Oryctolagus cuniculus: one gene and its partner. The protein of the gene in region 1 purifies or fractionates together with the protein of each later gene. This does not show direct contact. Links are inferred from orthologs where the notes say so. Each region holds a gene or a part of one and is shown on either strand. Other genes may lie near its edges.

The links. The genes of interacting proteins can lie anywhere in the genome.
Region 2: the proteins of SNW1 (region 1) and CCNT1 purify together in Homo sapiens (affinity purification with western blotting; 3 studies listed by BioGRID and IntAct, with this or other methods). This does not show direct contact. The link is inferred for Oryctolagus cuniculus from reciprocal best matches to the Homo sapiens genes SNW1 and CCNT1.

What each region holds. Positions count from the first base shown.
Region 1 is NC_091451.1:23,447,323-23,457,965, forward strand, and holds the start of SNW1 (SNW domain-containing protein 1), read right to left. Parts: upstream 5,983-10,643; 5' UTR 5,869-5,982; coding exon 5,855-5,868; intron 1,777-5,854; exon of another isoform or gene 1,650-1,776; intron 1-1,649. UniProt on the Homo sapiens protein: Involved in pre-mRNA splicing as component of the spliceosome. As a component of the minor spliceosome, involved in the splicing of U12-type introns in pre-mRNAs.
Region 2 is NC_091442.1:52,210,116-52,220,748, forward strand, and holds the start of CCNT1 (cyclin-T1), read right to left. Parts: upstream 5,283-10,633; 5' UTR 5,146-5,282; coding exon 4,985-5,145; intron 3,389-4,984; coding exon 3,307-3,388; intron 1-3,306. UniProt on the Homo sapiens protein: Regulatory subunit of the cyclin-dependent kinase pair (CDK9/cyclin-T1) complex, also called positive transcription elongation factor B (P-TEFb), which facilitates the transition from abortive to productive elongation by phosphorylating the CTD (C-terminal domain) of the large subunit of RNA polymerase II (RNA Pol II).

The sequences.
Region 1 (10,643 bases):
GAAAGGCAGAGTTGAAAGAAGGAGCCATCAAAGTGTGCATTTTTCTCTGAAGGGAACAGAGAATTTCCACTTTGCATATGGCCCTGTCTAAATACTGATGGAGTTTGTGGACTCAAAAGGCTTCCATAGTCTTGGCAGCTCATGTCAAGAGCCTTGGGTGATCACTGACAAGTGATAATTGTTAAATCAACAATAGGAGTCACTGTAAATTTACTCCCCATGTAGCCCTCTGTCCTTAATGAGTTGTACAATGAGAATTAACTATAAAACTTGTTCTCAAACAATATCTTATACTTTGTGTGTGTTTGTGTGTGTACGGCTGCAACTGTTGAAATCTTTACTTAGTGGAGTTGGTCTTATGTATATAAAGTTAATTAAAAACTAATCTTGGGGCCAGCACTGTGGTATATTGGGTAAAGCCGCCGCCTGCAGTGCCAGCATTCTATATGCCCACCAGTTCAAGTCCTGGCTACTCCACTTTCGATCCAGCTCTCTGCTATGGCCTGGGAAAGCAGTAGAAGATGGCACGAGTCCTTGAGCCCCTGCACCCACATGGGAGACCCAGAAGAAGCTCCTGGCTCCTGGCTTTGGATTGGCGCAGCTCCGGCCATTGTGATCAATTAGGGAGTGAACCAGTGGATGGAAGACCTCTCTCTGTCTGCCTCTCCTTCTCTGCGTAACTCTGACTTTCAAATAAATAAATAAATCTTTTTAAAAAATTAAAAATGAATCTTAATGAAGAATGGGATGGCAGAGTGAGGAGGTGAGACAGGCATGGGGGCAGGAGGGTGGGCATGGGGGGAAGAACCACTACATTCCTAAAGCTGTTCCTATGAAATTTGTATTCATTAAATAAAAGCTTTCTGAAAGAAAGAGAGAGAGAGAGTGAGGGGGAGAGGGAAGGAAGGAGGGAGGGAGGGGGAGGGAGAGGGAGAAGAAGAGAGACAAAGAAAAAAAGGCAGAGTTACAGAGAGAGGAGAGACAGAGAGAAATATCTTTAATCCACTGGTTCCTTCCCCAAATAGCCACAACAGCTGGGGCTGGGCCAATCCAAAGCCAGGAGTCAAGAGCAAAGAGTTTCTTCCAGGTCTCCCACATGGGTGCAGGGGGCCAAGGACTTGGACCTTCTTCCACTGCGGTCCCAGGTGTACTGCAGGGAGCTAGATCTGAAGTGAAGTAGCCAGGACTTGAACCAGCACCCATATGGGATGCTAGCATTACAGAAAGCCGCTTAACTCACTGTACCACAGCTCCTGCCTCCACATTTCCAACAACAAGCAGGTAAACACTCTAATTACCCCGCTGACAACTGTACAGTACATGGCATCTAAGTAACCTTCTTATAATTATTTCTAACTAGTGCCTTGACAATTTTAGTGTGGATACAAAAGAACAAGGATTAAAATGGAAGGTAACAAAGAGGCGAATACAAGAAACACAAGTTGCATATCTAAGTACCTTTTCCTCAAGGTATCTAGTTTACAATGGAATTTAAAACTGAAGAGGTGTAAGAATCAGAGTAACCTTTCTACTATATCATTCTTACCAACTTTTAAAAAATGTGTTTTATTCTTATGGCAAATGAAGGGAGAGGGTCTCAAGTTAGAGCAACAGGAGAAAAAACAATGTTGAGTAAGATTCCAGAATGATGCTGTTCCCTTGAGTGTCACCTGCCACTGGTAAATTCCAGGGCAAAGATGCAATTAAGGGTTTTCTTCCAGCACCAGCTACGAAATCCTGGCCCCACTTCCTAGGGAGGAACTGTGAAAGTGCTGGTATTCTTACCAACTTTTAAATATTGTATTATATTGTACCCCAAAGTACCAACAAAGCATTCAAGAGGATCAATAATAGATTTAATGGGAGAAATAATTCAGGTTCCTTTCTGATTTTTGACTAGAAAGCATACTTGTTTAGTAGCACTTCTTCATATATATTCAAAAATATTTACTTGGGCCAGCCAGAGTAGCAGGTTAAACCCCCACTTTACAATGATGGCATTTCATACCGGACTGGTGATCCAAAGCTACTTTTTTTTTTTTTTTTAATTTATTTGACAGGTAGAGTTATAGACAGTGAGAGAGACAGAGAGAAAGGTCTTCCTTCCGTTGGTTCACTCCCTAAATGGCTGCTACAGCCAGCGCTGTGCCTATCCAAAGCCAGGAGCCAGGTGCTTCCTCTTGGTCTCCCATGCGGGTGCAGGACCCAAGGACTTGGGCCATCCTCCACTGCCTTCCCGGGCCGCAGCAGAGCGCTGGACTGGAAGAGGAGCAACCAGGACTAGAACCCGGTGCCCATATGGGATGCTGGCGCCGCAGGCGGAGGATTAACCAAGTGAGCCACAGTGCCGGCCCACTACTGGGTTTCTGATCCAACATCCTGCTAATGCTCCTGGGAAAGCAGCAGAAAATGGCCCAAATGCTTGGACCGCCGCCACCCATGTGGGAGACTAGAATGGAGTTCTTGCCTCCTGGCTTTGGTCTGGCCCTGAACTGCTGTTGGGAACATTCGAGGACTGTATCAGTAGTTGGAAGATCACATCACTCTGTCTTTCAAATGAATAAATAAATTTAAAAAAAAATATTTATTGAGGGCCAGCACTGTGGTGTAGCAGATAAGGCTGCCACCTATGGTGCCAGCATCCCACATGGGCACGGGTTCAAGTCCTGGCTGCTCCACTTCCGATCCAGCTCTCTGCTATGGCCTGGGAAGGCAGTGGAAGATGGCTAAAGCCCTTGGGCCCCTGCACCCACGTGGGAGACCTGGAAGAAGTTCCTGGCTTTAGATTGGCACAGATCCAGCCGCTGCAGCCAACGGGGGAGTGAACCAGCGGATGGAAGACCTCTCTCTGTAACTCTTTCAAATAAATAAATAAATCTTTAAAAAAATATTTATTGATCACTGGGGTGCAGGCACTACGCTATGCAGGCAATGAGAGCATAAACAGCTTATAGTCTTTCAGGGGAGAAAGACAATCATATAATCACAAAAATCCATAACTGTGATACATTAAGTGATGAGGGAAGAAGACAGTACTGAGACAGCACACATCAGAGGATCTAATGCAATCTGGGGAATCAGGTGTGATCGCTATGAGCTCAATGTTCAAATCCTTACCTATGCCACTTACTAATCTGGGTAAGTTACTCAACTTTCTAAATCTGTTCTCTCATCTATAAAGATAGATCATGAAAGTTATCAACCTTATAAGTATTAAATGAAAAAATTCCTGAACCAGCTGGCATCCTGTCTGTTGCATGATTTCTTCAGTCTGGGTTAGCTATCTCTACCTCTGTTCCCATAAGACTTTCTGTGTGCCGGCACCACAGCTCACTAGGCTAATCCTGCGTCTGCGGCGCTAGCACACCAGGTTCTAGTCCCAGCTGGGGAGCCGGATTCTGTCCCGGTTGCTCCTCTTCCAGTCCAGTTCTCTGCTGTGGCCCGGAAAGGCAGTGGAGGATGTCGCAAGTGCTTGGGCCCTGCACCCGCATGGGAGACCAGGAGGAAGCACCTGGCTCCTGGCTTCGGATCAGCGCGATGCGCCGGCCATAGCAGCCATTTGGGGGTGAACCAATGGAAGGAAGACCTTTCTCTCTGTCTCTCTCACTGTCTATAACTCTCTCTCTCACTCACTGTCTATAACTCTGTCTCTCTCTCACTCTATCTCTGCCTGGCAAAAAAAAAAGACTTTCTGTGTATCTCTGTGTTTCATCACTAGAAATATCCACCTCACTGCAGTGCAGTCATCTATCCTCACACAGCACCATCACAAACTTTGAGGCAGGGCCCACGGATTTAACTTCTTTCATCCCAACTTCCCAGTAACTGTCCAGCTAACAGGGGCTCCTTAAAGATAGAAAATAGCTCACTCGATACTTCGCACTCATCATCCTGATGTCCCTACAGTCGTGTCATCTTTCCCTAAAAAGACATTGCAGGAGCTTTACCTTTGCTATTCCTTCTACCATGACATAGTCTATTTACTTACTAAAAGCAATTTTCCTTTACAGCAAACTCTTCCCCAACTTTTTAGCAGCCTGCATTTAGCAGCGCATCTCTTTGCTCAACTAATTACACCTTCCTAAAGTTGTGACCACCTTGTCCAAAAAAGCCACTTGATTCCAAACTTGGAGTCACCCTCCAACCCTTTACTGTCTTCCCAGTACCTGGTACCTGAAATGGCATTATTGATTTGTTTCACTCATATAACCAGAAGGCAAGCTCTGCACAGATAGGAATGCAAAAGTATAGGAAAAAGTTTCTCACTCATCAACCAATACAACACACCCAACACTTCTGACACCAGATGTGGGGGGAGTTTCCAGACATTCAGGTAATGTCCAATTCAATTCAATTCTGACAGATCCTGAGGGCTGTCTTGCAAGACTGCCACACTTCAGATACCAATTTCAAGTGTGCTCAGGGTATACTCCTCACCCACGAGGTATAAACTGGGGTTCCACAACTCCCTCCTTGAGTTCAACTGGCTAGGCCAGCTCACAAAACTCAGGGAAACGTTTACCGATTTATTATAGAGGACATTAAAAGTATACAAATAGCATATGAAAAGCAACACAGTTGCTAAGACTGGCCACTTAAAGACTGCATTCTGCCATTGCGATTTTAAGCACACAATACCCTCAACATCCCTGGTATTTTCCCTGCATATCCACTTCAAATTCTAACTTTTTCTCTTGACCCTACTTGTCTATGTCACAATGCCTCGCACCTACCTGTAACAGTTTCTAAAGCAAACTCTTTGATCCACGCAGTTCTCTTCATCTAATTGCTTTTTGCACTAAGACTATCATCTATGTAAATGAGCACTTTGATAGTTGTATGCCTTGGGCCCCATCTGCGTTGCAGCTAAAGACAGATCTCCTGGATACGTAACGCCTGAATACAGCAAGGCACTCAACGTCATTCCCAAAAGAATGGTCGCGTAAATTTTTTTTTTTAAATTCAGTGTCATCGGCCTGGCTGAAGACGCTTGAGGAGAACCAAGCATGGTCAGGGAGCTCAAGCTCACGCCCTAAAATGACAGCTTCCTTTGCAGCCCATTTTTTCACACTCGACTTTTCCAGATGAGTTCGCGGGGAAAGTTTGCCTACTTAGACCGGGCAGCCAGGTCACGCATAGGGAATTATGTAACTTCTCGGAAGCTCCCGCTTAGAGCATCTTTTTCTCCTAAAGGAAGGGAGCGCTTGGCCTTTGGTTACCAAGGCAACCGGGCACAGCAGCGCTCCAAGGTGGTTCGATTTCACCGAAGAAATTCTAAGGTTCAAAGTTAAAAGTGCGGAGCGCTGGCGCCTATGGGGACACAGCGGCCCCCACTGTGGCTAACTGAAGACTCCCCGATCAGTTCCGGATCCCCCTTTTCGGGAAGCTTTGTTCGGGGCGACAGAGTGGATAGAGAAAAGGAGAGAGCCAGAAGCGAACAACGGCCGGAGCGTCGCGCAGTCGCGTCCCGCGCGCTTCCCTCCGCCCGCGTAGGCAAGCCCCGCTCCCCACGGTGCCATCGCGTCCCGCGGAGCCGCCGACCCCAGGGCGCGCGCTCCACACACCCGCAAGGGGCTTCAGCGGAAAACACGTGCCGCTCTCCAGCTTCTGCGGTCCCGCCGAGGGTTTCGGCCTTGCCCAGGGGCCGAATTCAACCCAAGGCCGCTCAGGAAAGACCCCAGCGTCGGGGAGGCCTAGCCGCCGCGGCGACCGGCGGGAGGCCCTCGCCAAGCTCTCGGCTCTCTTCTTCCTGTGTCCTAAGCCAGATCCCTGGCTGGAGACGACGGGGCAGAGACATGAAAAAGAGGGGCACTACCAGACCCTTCCGTATCAAGGACCCAAATCAACAACCCACCTGGTGAGCGCCATCTTCTTCCGCTTCTTCTAACGCGAGCGACAGCGCCGCGGGGCGGGTCTTTCCCGGCAACCAGGAGCGAAGAGGGCAGAACCCGCGATGCGCAGGCGCCGCCGCCGAAAAGCCTTCTGGGACTTGTAGTTGTTTAAACGTGAGTACAATTCGGGTCTCTTCTGACCCGTGGGGTTTTACAGGACGGCCCCTGAAGTCAAGAGTAAATGGCTAACTTGATTACTCGTTTACTGTCACATGACAGGACATTTCCTTGGCTAAATAACGAGGGTGGGGGGAGAGGCATTTTAAACGCCTTTATTTTATTCCCCCGCTCAGACCCATTCACCTAGAAGAGGTGTCTAAGTATAAGAGGCTGCCCGAAGCAAGTTGAGTGGAGGACAATGGGGTTTCTGAAACGGTAGGAAATCGTGAGACCGGAGCGTTCTTGGACGCTCTGAGAACATTCACAATCAGAAAACTGTTCTTGAACCAGTACCCTTTCTTCCCCAAACACTCCTGGGGATTTAACTGGGATAGTTCAAACCGTTGGTAGAAAAAAAGGGAATTAAAATATAGTTATTTTATGCACCAAAAAAAATTGAAATTTAGACAGTTTTTTTTATAATAATATACATTTTCCATGAACCTCTTGAAGACCCACTGTATTTTTGTGTTCTTTAGCAAGTCACTTTGAGAATATTCCTTATGTGTATAAATATATATGTATATACCTACATACATTATATATATATGATTTAATATATTCAGTAAGATTTATAGGAGGCCATTCATTTGGACTGAGCTTCTGAACAAAGACCTGTCAAAAGTCAAAACTGTGACAGATTTAGTTTGAAGATCTAATCAGGGTTCAGCACTGTGGCATAGTGGGTTAAGCTGCCACCTGCAGTACAGGCAATGCCGGTTCAAGTCCCAGCTGCTCCATTTCCAATCCAGCTCCCTGCTAATGCACCTGGGAAAGCAGCGGAGTTTGGCCCAAGTGCTTGGGACTCTGCACCTACGTGGGAGACCTAGAAGAAGCTCCTGGCTTTGGATCGGCCCAGCCCCAGCTGTTATGGCCATTTGGGGAGTAAACCAGCAGGTGGAAGACCTCCCTCTCTGTCTTTCCATCTCTCTCTGTAATTCTGCCTTTCAAATAAAAAATAGATTATTTTTTCAAAAAAAGATTTAATTAGCTTTTAGTTTTGATTAGCTTTTAGTTTTTTTTTTAAGGTTTTATTTATTTAAAAGGCAGAGTTACAGAGAGGCAGAGGCAGAGAAAGAGAGGTCTTCCATCCACTGGTTCACTCCCCAGTTGGCCGCAATGGCTGCAGCTGCGCAGATCCAAAGCCAGGAACTAGGATCTTCTTCCCAGTCTTCCACGCAGATGCAGGGGCCCAAGGACTTGAGCCATTTTCCACCGCTTTCTCAGGCCATAGCAGAGAGCTGGATTGGAAGTGGAGCAGCCAGACTCGAACTGGAGACTATATGGAATGCCGGCACTACAGGTGGCGGTTTTACCCGCTATGCCACAGCGCCAGCCCCAGCTTTTAGTTTTGATTCTAAAATCTGGCAACACTTCATTCCATAAAGTAAAATGAGTGTTCTGATGAGCAGTTCAGAAGAAGCTGGCTTTCTAGACAAAAAAGGGGCTGAAGAAAGCAGAAAGGGGGAACAAAAAGTGCATTGGTTGCATCATAGTTACTCTCCCTGTGAAAGTTAAACAGAGGGACGTCCCTGTGCTTCTTTCTGCTGGCTAAAGCTGTGTGAGGATTTTTTAAAAATATTTTATTTATTTATTTGAGAGACAGAGTTACAGACAGAGGGAGAGACAGAGAGAAAGGTCTTCCATCTGCTGGTTTGCTCCCCAAATGGCCACAATGGCCGGAGCTGCGCTGATCCGAAGCCAAGAGCCAGGAACTTCTTCTGGGTCTCCTACGCAGGTGCAGGGGCCCAAGCACTTGGGCCATCTTCTGCTGCTTTCCCAGGCCATAGCAGAGAGCTGGATCAGAAGTGTAGCAGCCAGGACTAGAACCAGCACCCATTTGGGAAGCTGGCGTTGCAGGCGGAGGATTAACCTACTGCGCCACGGGGCCGGCCTCGTTGCGTGAGGATTTGACTATTATCTCTTGATCTCTCAGATAAATGAATGATGATGTGAAGTTTCAGCATGAGTAACTCTATTTTGGTTTTTTGAACCTAGTACAGGAGCTAAATCCAAAGCAATAGCCTACTCTACATTTTATTTAATATTCCCAACAGGGGGTGGCGCTGTGGCACTGGCATTCCATATGGGCACCTGTTTGAGACCCAGCTGCTCCTCTTCTGATCCAGCTCCCTACTAATGTACCAGGGAAAGCTGCAGAAGGTGGCCCAAGTCCTTGGGCCCCTGCAGTCATGTGGGAAACCCAAAGGAAGCTTCTGGCTCCTGGCTTTGGATTGGCCCAGCTCCAGCCATTGCAGCCATGTGGGGAGTAAACCAGTGAATGGGAGATCTCTTTCTGTCTCGCCTTCTATCTTTCTGTAACCCTGCTTTCAAATAAGTAAATAAATCTTAAAGAAAAACACAACAGTCCCAACTGATCAAAATGGATTCATTCAGGCTAACGTTCCCTTCCGTTAAGGTGGAACTAAGCTGTAGTATGGATTTAAACTGCAGCTTCACCACCCATAAGCAGTGTTACTACCATGAGCAATATTTTTGGGCCCCAGTTTCATTAAACATAAAATACCATTCATGTTCCATATATACTATAAAACTAGTGACTGGGAGGTGTAAGTGATAGAGGTGGGTGTATTTTGTGTTTTTACTCAACTGCAAAAGTTTTACATAAATTTATTACTTCTTACAGTTCGTGTTTGAGTTGGCAGTGATCTGCTGTAACCTCTGCTCCCAGAATGTATTATTGCTAAACAGAGAATAAAAGAGGAACAGATTAGAGGAGGTCCTGGAAGCCAAGGTCAAGGAGCTTGGATTTAATTTAGCAGCTGACTTGAAACTGAACAAGGACTTAAGAAACAGGCAAGAAAGAGGATTCTTAAGGAGGAGTAGGTTTCTATGGCAATGAGAGACAAGGTAGGCCACTGAGGACAAGGGTAAAGTAATTAACGTGGGAAATCAGCGATCCGTGGACCAAGATCTGGGGTATAGGACTGAAAGAAAGCAGGGGAGAAGAGTTCTCCCAATCCATGCTCGTTTTCCACAGAGGCGACTGTGCAAGGCGTTCCCATCAGTCGTGGTCCCTCGCTGTTCTTGGGAGTGTAGAGAAATGTGACTGACTCAAATGCAATCTTAGCACAGCATAATTAAGGAAACACATCTGCTGCCAAAGTGCTATGATATTGTACCCCAGGGCCCCTGCTTTGTTTGGTTTTGTGCTGGAGAGGGGCTTGGTGTTCAGCTGGATCTTTCTTGCCCTTCCAGCCCTCATTATCACAGGTAATTGTGCTTGCTGGCTCAAAATAGGCTCATGCAGGCCCAGGTTGCAAGAAGCAATCAATTCACTTTGTCTTGGCTATCCAGAGAGCAGCTGGAGTTGGTTCTCAGAGAACCTGGGGCCTAACTTGATTTCCAGCTAGCTGTAACTGTGCAGCCACAGGTAACAGCACATGGGTGGTAGGGTGGAGCAGTTAGACAGAGATTCTGAAGTCAGCTTTCCTGAGTTCCCATCTTGGCTCCCTCATGGACAAGTTGTAGATCCTGGGCAAGTCCCATAATCTGTATCAGTTTTCTCACTGGCAAGAAAAACAACCCAGAAATGGGAGGCAGGGGGCTGAGGTGGGTGTTTGGCCTAGCAGTCAAGGTGTTGCTGGGTATTGTGATGCAGTGGGTTAGGCTACCACGGGGAACACCTGCATTCCATATCGGAGTGCCTGGCTCAAGTCCTGGCTGCTCTGTGCTTCTTGTACCAGATCCCTGCTAATGCACCTAGGAGGTAGCAGGTGATGGCCCAAGCACTTGGGTTCCTGCCACCCAATGGGAGACCCAGGTGGAGTTCCGGGTTCTTGACTTCAGCCTGGCCTAGCCCTGGCTGTTTTGGGCATTTGAGGAGTAAACCAGCAGATGAGGTGTTTTCTGTCATTTTCACTGTCTCAAATAAGTAAAATAAATAAAATTCTTTTTTTTAAGTGAGAAAACATTTAACCTATTCTCATAAATTTGTTGGATTAGTTGAGTTAATCATGTATGGTGCTTTAGAACAACGTCCAAGATAGAGTGAGCACTCAAAAAATAATTATGATTTTCTGGCTTTAATTTAATTGACTTGAACACAGTTTATTAAGCTTCTTGAGCTTCCCATTTTGCATCTCTAAGTGAAGCAATTGAAGTCGATTTTATTTCTGGGGTATGTTCCAAATAACATTCTATTGCATGTGGTGCATGTAAGGAGCTGATCAAAGTAGGATTTCACAAATCACACAGTTCGCTGAACTTTTCTTAGGTTCACAGTGCCTAAGGAGGGGGAGAATAATGTGAGCAAACCTCCCAGGGAATACACTCCGTAAACGAGGCACATTAACCACACACTGAATGAGTTCCAAAATTATTCAAGTCCAATTGCTCACTTTGCGTGGAAAGCAGAGTGTAATTAAAGTTTGAAGCATACCTTTCTATGAGCAGCCTCAGGCGGCTGGCTTGACCTCCGCAGTGGACACGTGAGGTCCCTGCATGCTGGGAGGTGGCACTGGTTTTGGCCTGTGCAGCCTGAGCTCTTTCCATGTGGAGAAGCCAGTGACAGGGCACAGCCCTGCCACTGCCTGAGCTCTCCAGGTGTTGGTCAAACTCTGGACTTTGAAG
Region 2 (10,633 bases), on another chromosome or scaffold:
ATTAAGGGGCCGGGGCTGTGGCATAGTAGGTTAAGCCTCTGCCTGTGGCGCCTGGTATCCCATATGGATGCCGGTTCATGTCCTGGCTACTCCATTTCTGATCTAGCTCACCAATAATGCACCTGGGAAAGCAGCCAAAGATGACGCAAATCCTTGGGCCCTTCCCCTTCCAGGGAAACCTGGAAGAAGCTCCTGGCTCCTGGCTTTGGCCTGGCCCAGCCTTGGCTATTGCAGCCATTTGGGGAATAAATCTGTGAATGGAAGACCTCTCTCTATCTCTCCCTCTCTCTCTCCGTAACTCTGCCTTTCAAATAAAAAAGTAAACCTTTTAAAACAATAAGAAAGGTAAGGAAGGTAAGGGACAGTGTTGTAGCATAATGAGTTAGACCACTGCCTGTGATGCCAGCATCCCACAAGAAGAGCTGGTTCATGTCTGGGCTGTTCCACTTCTGATCCAGCTCCTGCTAATGCACCTGAGAAACCAGCAGAAGACATGCAAAGTGTTCAGGTCCAGCCACCATTTGGGTGACCTGGTTGGAATTCCAGGTTCCTGGCTTTGGCCTGACCCAGCCCCAGTCGTTGGCAGCCATCTAGAAAGTGAACCAGTAGATGGAAAACATCTCTCTCCACCACTGCCACCCCACCCAATCTATAACTCTGCCATTCAAAAAAAAAATTTTTTTTAATCTTAAAAATAAATAAATGAATAAATTTGACAGCTTTTAAAAATTTATTTATTCATTTAAAACATAAAGCAACAGAAAGAGAGAGAGAGAGACAGAGAAAGACACAGCATGATCTTCCATCCACTAGCTCACTCCCTAAAGGGCCACAAAGGCCAGGGCTAGGCCAGGACGAATGATGCCAAGAACCCAAAACTCCACCCAGGTCTCCTACGTGGGCTGCATGGGCCCAAGGACTTTGGTTTGCTGCTTTCCCAGGCATATTAGCAGGGAACTGGATCGGAGGCAAGGCAATCAGAACTCCAACAAGCACTTCAATAAGGAATGCCAATGCCTTAAGTGGCAGCTTAACCTGCTGGGATATAACACCAGCCCCACTTTTTAAACTTCATTTCCTTCCATTTATTTGAAAAGCAGAGAGAAACAGAGACAAACATTCCATCCACAGTTTCATTCCCCAAATACCCACAACAGGGTCTCCCACGTGGGCAGTAGGGACTCAATTACCTACTACCTCCAGGGATCACATTAAGAGAAAGCCGGGACTACAAGTGGACCTAGGACTCAATCCCAGTCACTGTGATATGGGATATGGGTGTTCTAAGCAACATGTTACTACTCTGTCCAACACCCACCTATAAAATTTTTCTTTAAAAATCAGGATTTTAAAGAGGACCAACAACCCCAAAGTAACTACTGGATTCTGGAAACAGTCATGACAGCTGAAAGATAACCCATTATGGGAGAACTGCCAGATCATTCATTAACAAGTTTACTGAAGGTGCTTTGGAGAATACATAGAAACTCTGTCCTTGCTGAACTTACTATATAGGAAATAAGAAAAGACACAATTCAAGGAGCAGGCATTTGGCACAGTGGTTAAGATGCCACTTGTGGGGTTGATGCTGTCGCGTAGCGGGTAAAGCCACCGCTTGTAGTGCCAGCATCCCATATGGACATTGGTTCCAGTCCCAGCTTCTCCACTTCCGATCCAGCTCTCTGCTATGGCCTGAGAAAGCAGTAGAGGATGGCCAAAGTCCTTGGGACCCTGTACCCACGTGGAAGACCCAGAAGCAGCTCCTACCTCCTGGCTTCAGATCAGCCCAGCTCAGGCTCTTCCAGCCATTTGGAGAGCAAACCAGGAGATGGAAGATCTCTGTTTCTCTTTGCCTCTGCCTCTCTGTAACTCTGCCTTTCAAATAAATAAACTGATTTATTTATCCCCAAATCGTCTATTTTTATCATAATAAAAGGGAAAAGCCATAGAAAATCTTCAAGTTAGGAAGGCAGCTATGAAGTTCCTCTTCAGTTTCACAATATCCCATCTGGTGCTGTCAGACAGAACGATTCTCTCCCAATAACAATGGTGTATTCTTTACAATCAGAGTAGGTATCAGGGCCAAAAACAGAAGAAAGTCAAGCTGGCTGAATAATCAGAGACAGTCAAGAATTCCTAATCACACCAAAGGGTGTCCCAATCTGGATTCTACCAATTTTTTTTTTTTATATATTTATTTATTCGGAAGGCAGAGAGAGAGGTCTTCCATCCTCTTGTTTACTCCCCAAATGGCTGCAACAGCCAGAGCAAGGCTGATCCGAAGCCAGGAGCCAGGAGCTTGCTCCAGGTCTCTCACGCAGGTGCAGGGGCCCAAGGACTTGGGTCATCTTCCGCTGCTATCCCAGGCCATAGCAGAGAGCTGGATAGGAAGTAGAGCAGAAGGGACTAGAACTGGCGTCCATATGGGATGCCGGCACTGCAGGCGGAAGCTTTACCTGCTACATCACAACATCAGCCCCTGGATTCTGCCCATTTCTTACTTTACAGGAGCTATATCTAGCTTCACAAACTCTCTTCCAAGAGCTTAAAAAAAAAAAGCTCAAAACCATCATCCCAAAGTAAAGCCTAAAACAAATTTATTCAAAAGCATAACCTTTTTCTTTTTACAAAATAATGAAATCTCTGATGAGCAAACCATATAAAGTGTTCCTCAAGCTTATCACCATTACCTTGGAATGTTTTCAAAACAAATACAGCCTTAGTGGACTACCACTATGCATTCACTTCCAAGCTACTTATAATAATCTTAAATAGGACCATTTCAGTTAGCAAAACTGAAAGTAGCATAATTTACAATCTGTCCAGGAGGGAAAAAAAGGTCTTTTACTGCTAACATCTTCTTTGTTCTGTTCTTAAAATTCATTTCTCGAGGCATTACCACATTTTGTACATTCCAGATCCTCTGGGCATTGATTGGAGTTTTGTAAAAGGCTTGTGAAAATCTAAATTACTTATATTCATTTGCTTTCCTGTGACATTATTTTGCCACTTTGAACGCTCTACTGAAATATGATTTCCACTTTAATGCCATCCCCCACAAAAACATCTTTACACGTTTGATAATCTATTTCATTACTAGAGAACCTACCTACTGTAAGGGTGCAGAAAACTACATTTCATAGGAAAATGGGAAAGCTGTATTCATAGCAACAGTGTGACACAGAATGAAAGTGAGCAGCAGAGTTCTCAAGTTCAAATCCCAGCTCAGTGGCAAAGACCAACCTGAAGAAACAGGTATGTAGAAGACTCACGAAGCGAACACCACATAAGAAAAGTCATACTCACATTTCGATGAAACTGAGTGAAGGATTGGATCATGTAGAATCGATGCACATATACTATAGCGGTGTTGATGGTCAGTTGCGAGCTGAAGTGCTCCAGTGAAGGCAAAAACAAGCAGGATACTTCCAGAAAACATAACATCTGGCCCCTTCCAGAAAGACCAGAAGACCAAGCATGATAGATGCCCTTAAAGGAAAACCTACTTACCTCTCCAAATCAGAAAGCAGCCCATTCTCCTCCGCCAAATTATTAACTGCCAACTGGCACTGACCACAATGCCTTCCACATTTACTTACACAAGTACTCACTACAAATTCACCGAATTACTAAGTTTCTCGGGCTGTGTGGCTCAATATGGCTTATAAACAAAACTATGTAATGAGCTCTTAAATGCTTTCACTCACCTTCTGAACACCCTGCAAAGATGATGCATTAGCTCGGGGTATCTCTTTAATCATCATTTACAAGGTCCTCCCTGATGCAGCCATAGCCCTGGGGAATATGTCACCACTATCTCCCTCAGCTTCTACACCCCAGCAATTAAGTTTACAGTTCCACCTCTCTCTGGTCACAGAGCAACCCCTGGGACTACCATTTTTCAAAAGGCCTGATATTCATTCGCTGAAAATAAAACTGTTTTCATGTCTTACATCTTAAGGCCGTCCCAAACAACATGAGATACAGAAATGTCACTTAGCAACAAGGTGAATAACACACATATAAAAAGTTTCAAGGATACACTGAAAACCGGATCTCAGACAACATGATTTAGCTCTGTACAGATCAGATGCTTAGGAAACAAATTTGATACGGAAAACAGGCTGGCAACAGAGGGCAACCCCTGCATTTCAGACTGGGCGCACCCCCACAAACACGACCAATTACATGGAAGCTGCACTTCAGAAAAAAGTTTTCAGCCCACGACAGAAGCAGCTTGAAAACGACATTCTTCCCTCCGACGCAAAACAAACGTCTTCCGACAAGCAAATACATTCGGGCGGAAAAACAAAGCACGGAATTCGCTCAATTTTGAATTACGAAAGGAACGAATACACACTCAAACTCGGCGTAGCGTTAAGCACCCAGAATCTCGCAAACGGTGGGAAACATGAGATCCACAGCTCTACGCATCCCCTACACACCTAATCTGCCATCTTTTCCTTCCTCAGAACTTCTAACAGCGCCCCCTTCGACGTCTGGCCCCCAAGCACCGTGGTGGACACGGAACCGAGGCGGGCCAGGACGGAGGAAGCCTCTGACCAAGTTAAATCAGCACGCGGGAGTCACAGATTCGGAACCACTGCTTGGACACGAATTCTAAGCCACCTGTGCAAGGCTTTCGGGTACTGAATCGCTAACACGCCGAGTTTAAGGGGGACAGGCGTCAACAGTGAACCCTCCACCAGACCCCGAGGGCGTAAGGGAAAGAACAAGCTCAAAGGCAGCCGGCAGACCACGAGAACCGGTGGAAACACAAAGCCGGGAAGGGCCTGCATTCCCGGCAAGGGTGAGCAAGCGGGAAACGAACTCCGCCTCGCTGCCCTGGCGCCAACCCCGACTTTCAACCCGCCCCGCGGCGCGCTCGCTCACCTAGCGCTCCGGCTCCTGCCCACCTCCCGTCCCCGCCCCGAGCCCGGCCGGCACCGACTCCCAGGCCCGAAGGCCTAGGCCGCAAGGATACACGAAAAGACGTTGACCCATGTCCTGAAGCAGATTGGCCGCCTGCTGGCGATAAGAAAGTTCCTTATCGGGGTCCAGGCCACACCGGCGGGATGGGCTGTTCTCCAGCTGTTCTCGAGTAAAATACCACCGCTTGTTGCTGTTCTTCCTCTCTCCCTCCATAGTGCTACAACCAGAAGGCAGCAGCAGAGGCTGCGAGCACTTCCCAGCGTCACCTACGCGGCGACACACATCCGCCGTGCGGGGGCAACTGCGACGTGACGAGTTTCCGCTAGGATTCGACGGCCGGCTTTGTGACACGCTTCCGCCGACGAAGCGGAAGTCTGAGCGCCCACTTCCGGAATGGCCCTCGCGACGCTCCGTAGCCGGCTGTGCAGCTTGCGTACCGCCAGGAAAGACCTTGAAGAGAGGGCGCAGGCGCCGGTCACGTGACCCCACCCCCACCCCACGCGCCGAGTAGGGCGGAGTCATACGTTTACGTTTAAAAACCGCGTCTCTTCCCGCGAGAACTGAGCTCGCGATGGTTGTTTGCGGGGGGGAGGGGGGTGCTGCGAGGCAGTTCCTGGGACTATTATGGTGGCGGCTCACGGCCACGTGCCGCTTGGTGGGTCCTACGAGAACTTTGCTCCTGGCTGAAGTGGCGACGTAAAATGGGACGGTGGCAGAGCTTTGTAGAATAGGTGAGAAGCGAAGAGCGTAGCCGCTATCGTACCGCGGAGATGTAAAGCCAGCAGAGGCGGGCTTTTTTTTTTTTTTTGACAGGCAGAGTGGATAGTGAGACAGAGAGACAGAGAGAAAGGTCTTCCTTTGCTGTTGGTTTACCCTCCAATGGCCGGCGCACCGCGCTGATCCGATGGCAGGAGCCAGGTACTTCTGGTCTCCCATGGGGTGCAGGGCCCAAGCACTTGGGCCATCCTCCACTGCACTCCCGGGCCACAGCAGAGAGCTGGCCTGGAAGAGGAGTAACAGGGACAGAATCCAGCACCCTGACCAGGACTAGAACCCGGGGTGCCGGCGCCGCAAGGCGGAGGATTAGCCTAGTGAGCCGCGGCCGGCCTGAGGCGGGCTTTTTTTAATATTGCTGGTGGGTGCCGAGCACTGCCACTCGTTTGAACATCCCCCTCCTAATAAGTAGCCCAAACCCGTGAGAACAGGAGCAGTGGTGCCCCGGGAAGGTGTAGCGTGAAGTTAGCAGCACTCACTCAGTGCTTGCAGGTCCCGAGCACGATGCTGACGTCTCCGTGTACCGTATGCCTTCGTCATCGTCATTCTTAGTAATATTTAATTCCCGTGTGCAGAAGGTTTCAAGCGGCACCCCTCGAGGCGGGAGGCTCCCACCACCACCCGCCATGGGCGCAAACTTGGGCCTTCCTGTCTCGTGGTGAAGTGGCTCCGACGTCTTGATGCTGGGCAAGATGCCTCATTTCTGACTCTTAAAATATGCAATTGTTAGTACCTACGTTTTAAGTATCAGGTTGTGAACGGCAGTAAATGAGAATTTTTTTTTTTTTTTTTTTGACAGGCAGAGTGGACAGTGAGAGAGAGAGAGAGAAAGGTCTTCCTTTGCCGTTGGTTCACCCTCCAATGGCCGCCACGGCCGGCGCACCGCGCTGATCCGATGGCAGGAGCCAGGAGCCAGGTGCTTTTCCTGGTCTCCCATGGGGTGCAGGGCCCAAGCACCTGGGCCATCCTCCACTGCACTCCCTGGGCACCTCAGAGAGCTGGCCTGGAAGAGGGGCAACCAGGACAGAATCCGGCTCCCCGACCGGGACTAGAACCCGGTGTGCTGGTGCCGCAAGGCGGAGGATTAGCCTAGTGAGCCGCGGCGCCGGCCAGTAAATGAGAATTTAAGTTTGCACTCGTACTTGAAATGGTCTGTAGGTCTCATTACGTTGCATAGTAGGCGAGAGCAAATGCAGGGACAGTGCTTTCATTTCTGTCCCTCCGGCTCCTGAGTAGTACAGCCCTGGCCCTTAGAAGATACTCAGACCATCAGCAAATAAACGTCCGTGACACCCTGGAGTATACAAACAAGCTGGTGGAATATCAAGGAGCTTGCCTTACATTATACTGCTAATACTTGTAGACTTTTTTTTAAAGATTTATTTACTTATTTATTTATTTGAAAGGTGGTGATAGAGAGGAAGCTGCATCAGAGGCTAAGCAACCAGAATGTCAGTGGCTGGTGCTGAGATGTAGAGGGTAAAACTGCCGCCTGCAGTGCCAACATCCCATATGGGCGCTGGTTCGAATCCCGGCTCCTCCACCACTTCCGATCCAGCTCTCTGCTATGGCCTGTGAAAGCAGTAGAAGTTGGCCCAAGTCCTTGGGTCCCTGCACCCGTGTGGGAGACATGGAGGAAGCTCCTGGCTCCTGGCTTCGGATCAGCTCAGCTCCATCTGTTGTGGCAATTTGGGGAATGAACCCATGGATGGAAGACTTTTCTCTCTCTGCCTCTCTGTAACTCTGCCTTTCAAATAAATAAATCTTTAAAAAAAAAAAAAAAAAAAAAAAAGCCAGCCTCAAGCAGCAGCTAACCTGCCATACCAAAATGCCAGCCCCTAAGTGTAGCTTTTTTTTTTTTTTTTAATTTATTTTATTTGAAAGGCAAAGTTACAGAGAGGTAGAGCCGAGGAGGGGGTCTCCATCCTCTGGCTCATTCCCCAAATGACATTAATGACCAGAGCTGAGGTCTCCCATGTGGGTGCAGGGACCCAAGGACTTGAGCCATCTTCCACTGCTTTCCCAGGCCACAGCAGAGAGCTGGATCAGAAGCAGAGCATCCAGGACTTGAATCGGCACCTTTATGGGATGTCGGCACTGCAGGCTGGGGCTTTAACCCACTGCACCACAGCAGCGGTCCTCTAAGTGTAGATCTTAAAAACAAATTATTCTTTGCATTCTGACAAGCTGCCTTCCTGCTTTTCTGGACCCATACTCAATTTACCTTAAGTTTGCACAGCTTTAGATAAAATTTTAGAATAGAATCCTTTGTTTTGCTTTTATATTTTGGGTTTCATCATTTCTAACATTTGATTCTAATTCATTCTCAGAAGTGTTTCGTTCCATTTGAGGCCCTGCTCTGCTGTATACTGCCCATAATAATTCACTTCAGGTTATAAGCTAAAAGAGCATTTGATTTTAAACTTCTTCTATCACAGACTTTTTTCTTTTAATAGACTAAGCATTTTTTCAGTCATGGAGTCATGTATTGTTTCTTAAACAGCCAAAACTATTTCCCCAGGATTCTTCTTGCCTATTTCTTTGACCTGTGTTTGATTCTCCACTTAACCTCTTGGATTAATGACTCCGTATTGAATTTGCCATTTCTACTGAGCATGCCATTCTTCCAGGAAAAAGTTCTGGTACCTGTCAGGCTCCAGGCAATGCAGCTGCTGCCCATGGCTTGCTACCCTCCCATACAGGACAGGGAGCCTGTCAAAGAAAAGACATATTCTTTTGTCTCAAGATGTAATTATTTCAAGTAGGAAACAATGATAACATAATGCTAAATATGAGTTTGTGAGACAGGCCTGTATTCACATCCCAACTATTCTTCCCACTCTCCCGCACTCCCCGCCCGCCAACCATCTTAACAATTTTAATTGTGCAATTTAGTGGCATCAACTTTATTCACATTGTTGTACAGCAGACCTCAAGAACGTTTTCATCATGCACTACTGAAACTGTACACATTGAACAACTCCCATTTTCCCTTCTAGCCCCTGGCAGCCATCATTCTACTTCCTGTTTCTGTGGTGCTGACAACTTCAGATGCCTCAGATACGTGTATATAGAGTATTTGTCGCCCGTGATTGGCTTATTTCATTTAGTATAAAGTCCTCAAAGATGCCAGCTTTTCTTTTGGTGTGATGTTGAATGATATCTCTGCATTCTGATAGAATACCATCCAGCACATATTAGGTATTCAATGCAAGTTATGTTGTAAACATAACATTAGCCTTCAGATACAGTGCCCTTAAAGAACCACTGACAAATCTTAAGTCACAGGAATTTTCCTTTTTTAAAAAAAATGTCAGTAGGATACAGGCATTGTGGTACAGTGAGTTAAGCTGCCCACGTGCATATTGGAATGTCTGTTCCAGTCATGGCTCCTCTCCTTCCAATCCAGCTTCCTGCTCATGCACCTGAGAAAGCCATAGATGATGGCCCAAGTACTTGGGTCCCTGCCTCCCAGGAGACCCAGATGGTGATCCTGGGTCTTGACTTTAGCCAGGCCCCGTCCTGGTTGTTGCAGGCATTGGGGAATGAACTAGCAGGTAGGAGATCTGTGTGTGTCTGTCTCTCCCTCCTTTACCTCTCCCTCTCTCCCTGTCACTCTCATCTTATTTTGCACTATGCATATGTCATCTTTTAATCATGTCAAACATTACCATTTCTACTCAACATTCATATAGTCTCCATTTAAAATATGAAAGGATGGGGCTATTGGCAACATTCCTCAATTCCATGATAGTTTAAAATCAACAGCACTGTGGTGGGGCCAGCATTGTTGCACAGTGAGTAAAGCCGCTGCCTGTGATGCTGGTATTCCATATGGACACCATTTAAAGTCTCATCTGCTCTGCTTCCAATCCAGCTCCCTGCTAATGTGCCTGGGAAAGCAGCAGAAGATGGCCCAAGTGCTTAGGCCCTTGCATCTATGTGGGAGACCTGGACAGTGTTCTAGATTGCTGGCTTCAGCCTGGCCTAGCCCTGGCTGTTGTAGCCATTTAAGGAATTAAACCAATGGATGAAGATCTTTCTTGTGCTCTCTCCCCTTCCCTCTCTGTAACTCTGCCTTTCAAATAAGTAAATCTTTAAAATCAGCTATGGTATTTGTATGTGTTGGTAACTTATTAATTGTCCATTAAAAATTATATATATATATGCATCTACGTTCATTTTAAAATCTAATATAAAGGATGTGTAGACCACAATTTATAAAACATAAAATTTATAATCTTTTATCATAAATTTCCAGTAGCGAGCTAATTTCTTGCAAAATGCTTTGAGGCTTGCCAACTTTTTTTTTTTTTTTTTTTTTTTTTCATTTTCTTTGAGAGGCATAGAGACAGACAGTTTCATCACTGGGCAATTCCTCAAATGCACACAATGACTGGGGCTGAGTAGGGACCAAAGCTAGGAATCGGGATTGCAAACTAGGACTCCCATGTTAGTGGCAGAGACCCAGTTGCTTAAGCTATCACTGCTGCCACCCAAGGTCTTCATTACCAGGAAGCTGGAATTAGGAGCTAGAGCCAGGTATTGAGCTCAGGTACTTCAGTGTGGGACACAGGCATTTTAACCACTGGGCCAAATGCACACACCAAGTTTTGTTAGATTCCTGAGTTAACTGTGGTTATATTTGACAATAGAGTACAGTGGATTTTTTTTTTAAGATTTACTTATTTATTTGAAACAGTTACAAAGAGAGATAAATCTTTCATCCACTGGTTCACTCCTCAGATGGCTGCAATGTGTCCCTGCAATGGCTGAAGCTGGGCCAGGCCAAGTCCAGGAGCTTCATCTAGGTCTCCCACATGGGTGGCAGGGCCCAAGCACTTGGGCATCTTTGCTGCTTTGACCAGGCCTTCAGCAGGGAGCTGGATCAGAAGTAGAGCAACAAGACACAAACTGGCACCCATAT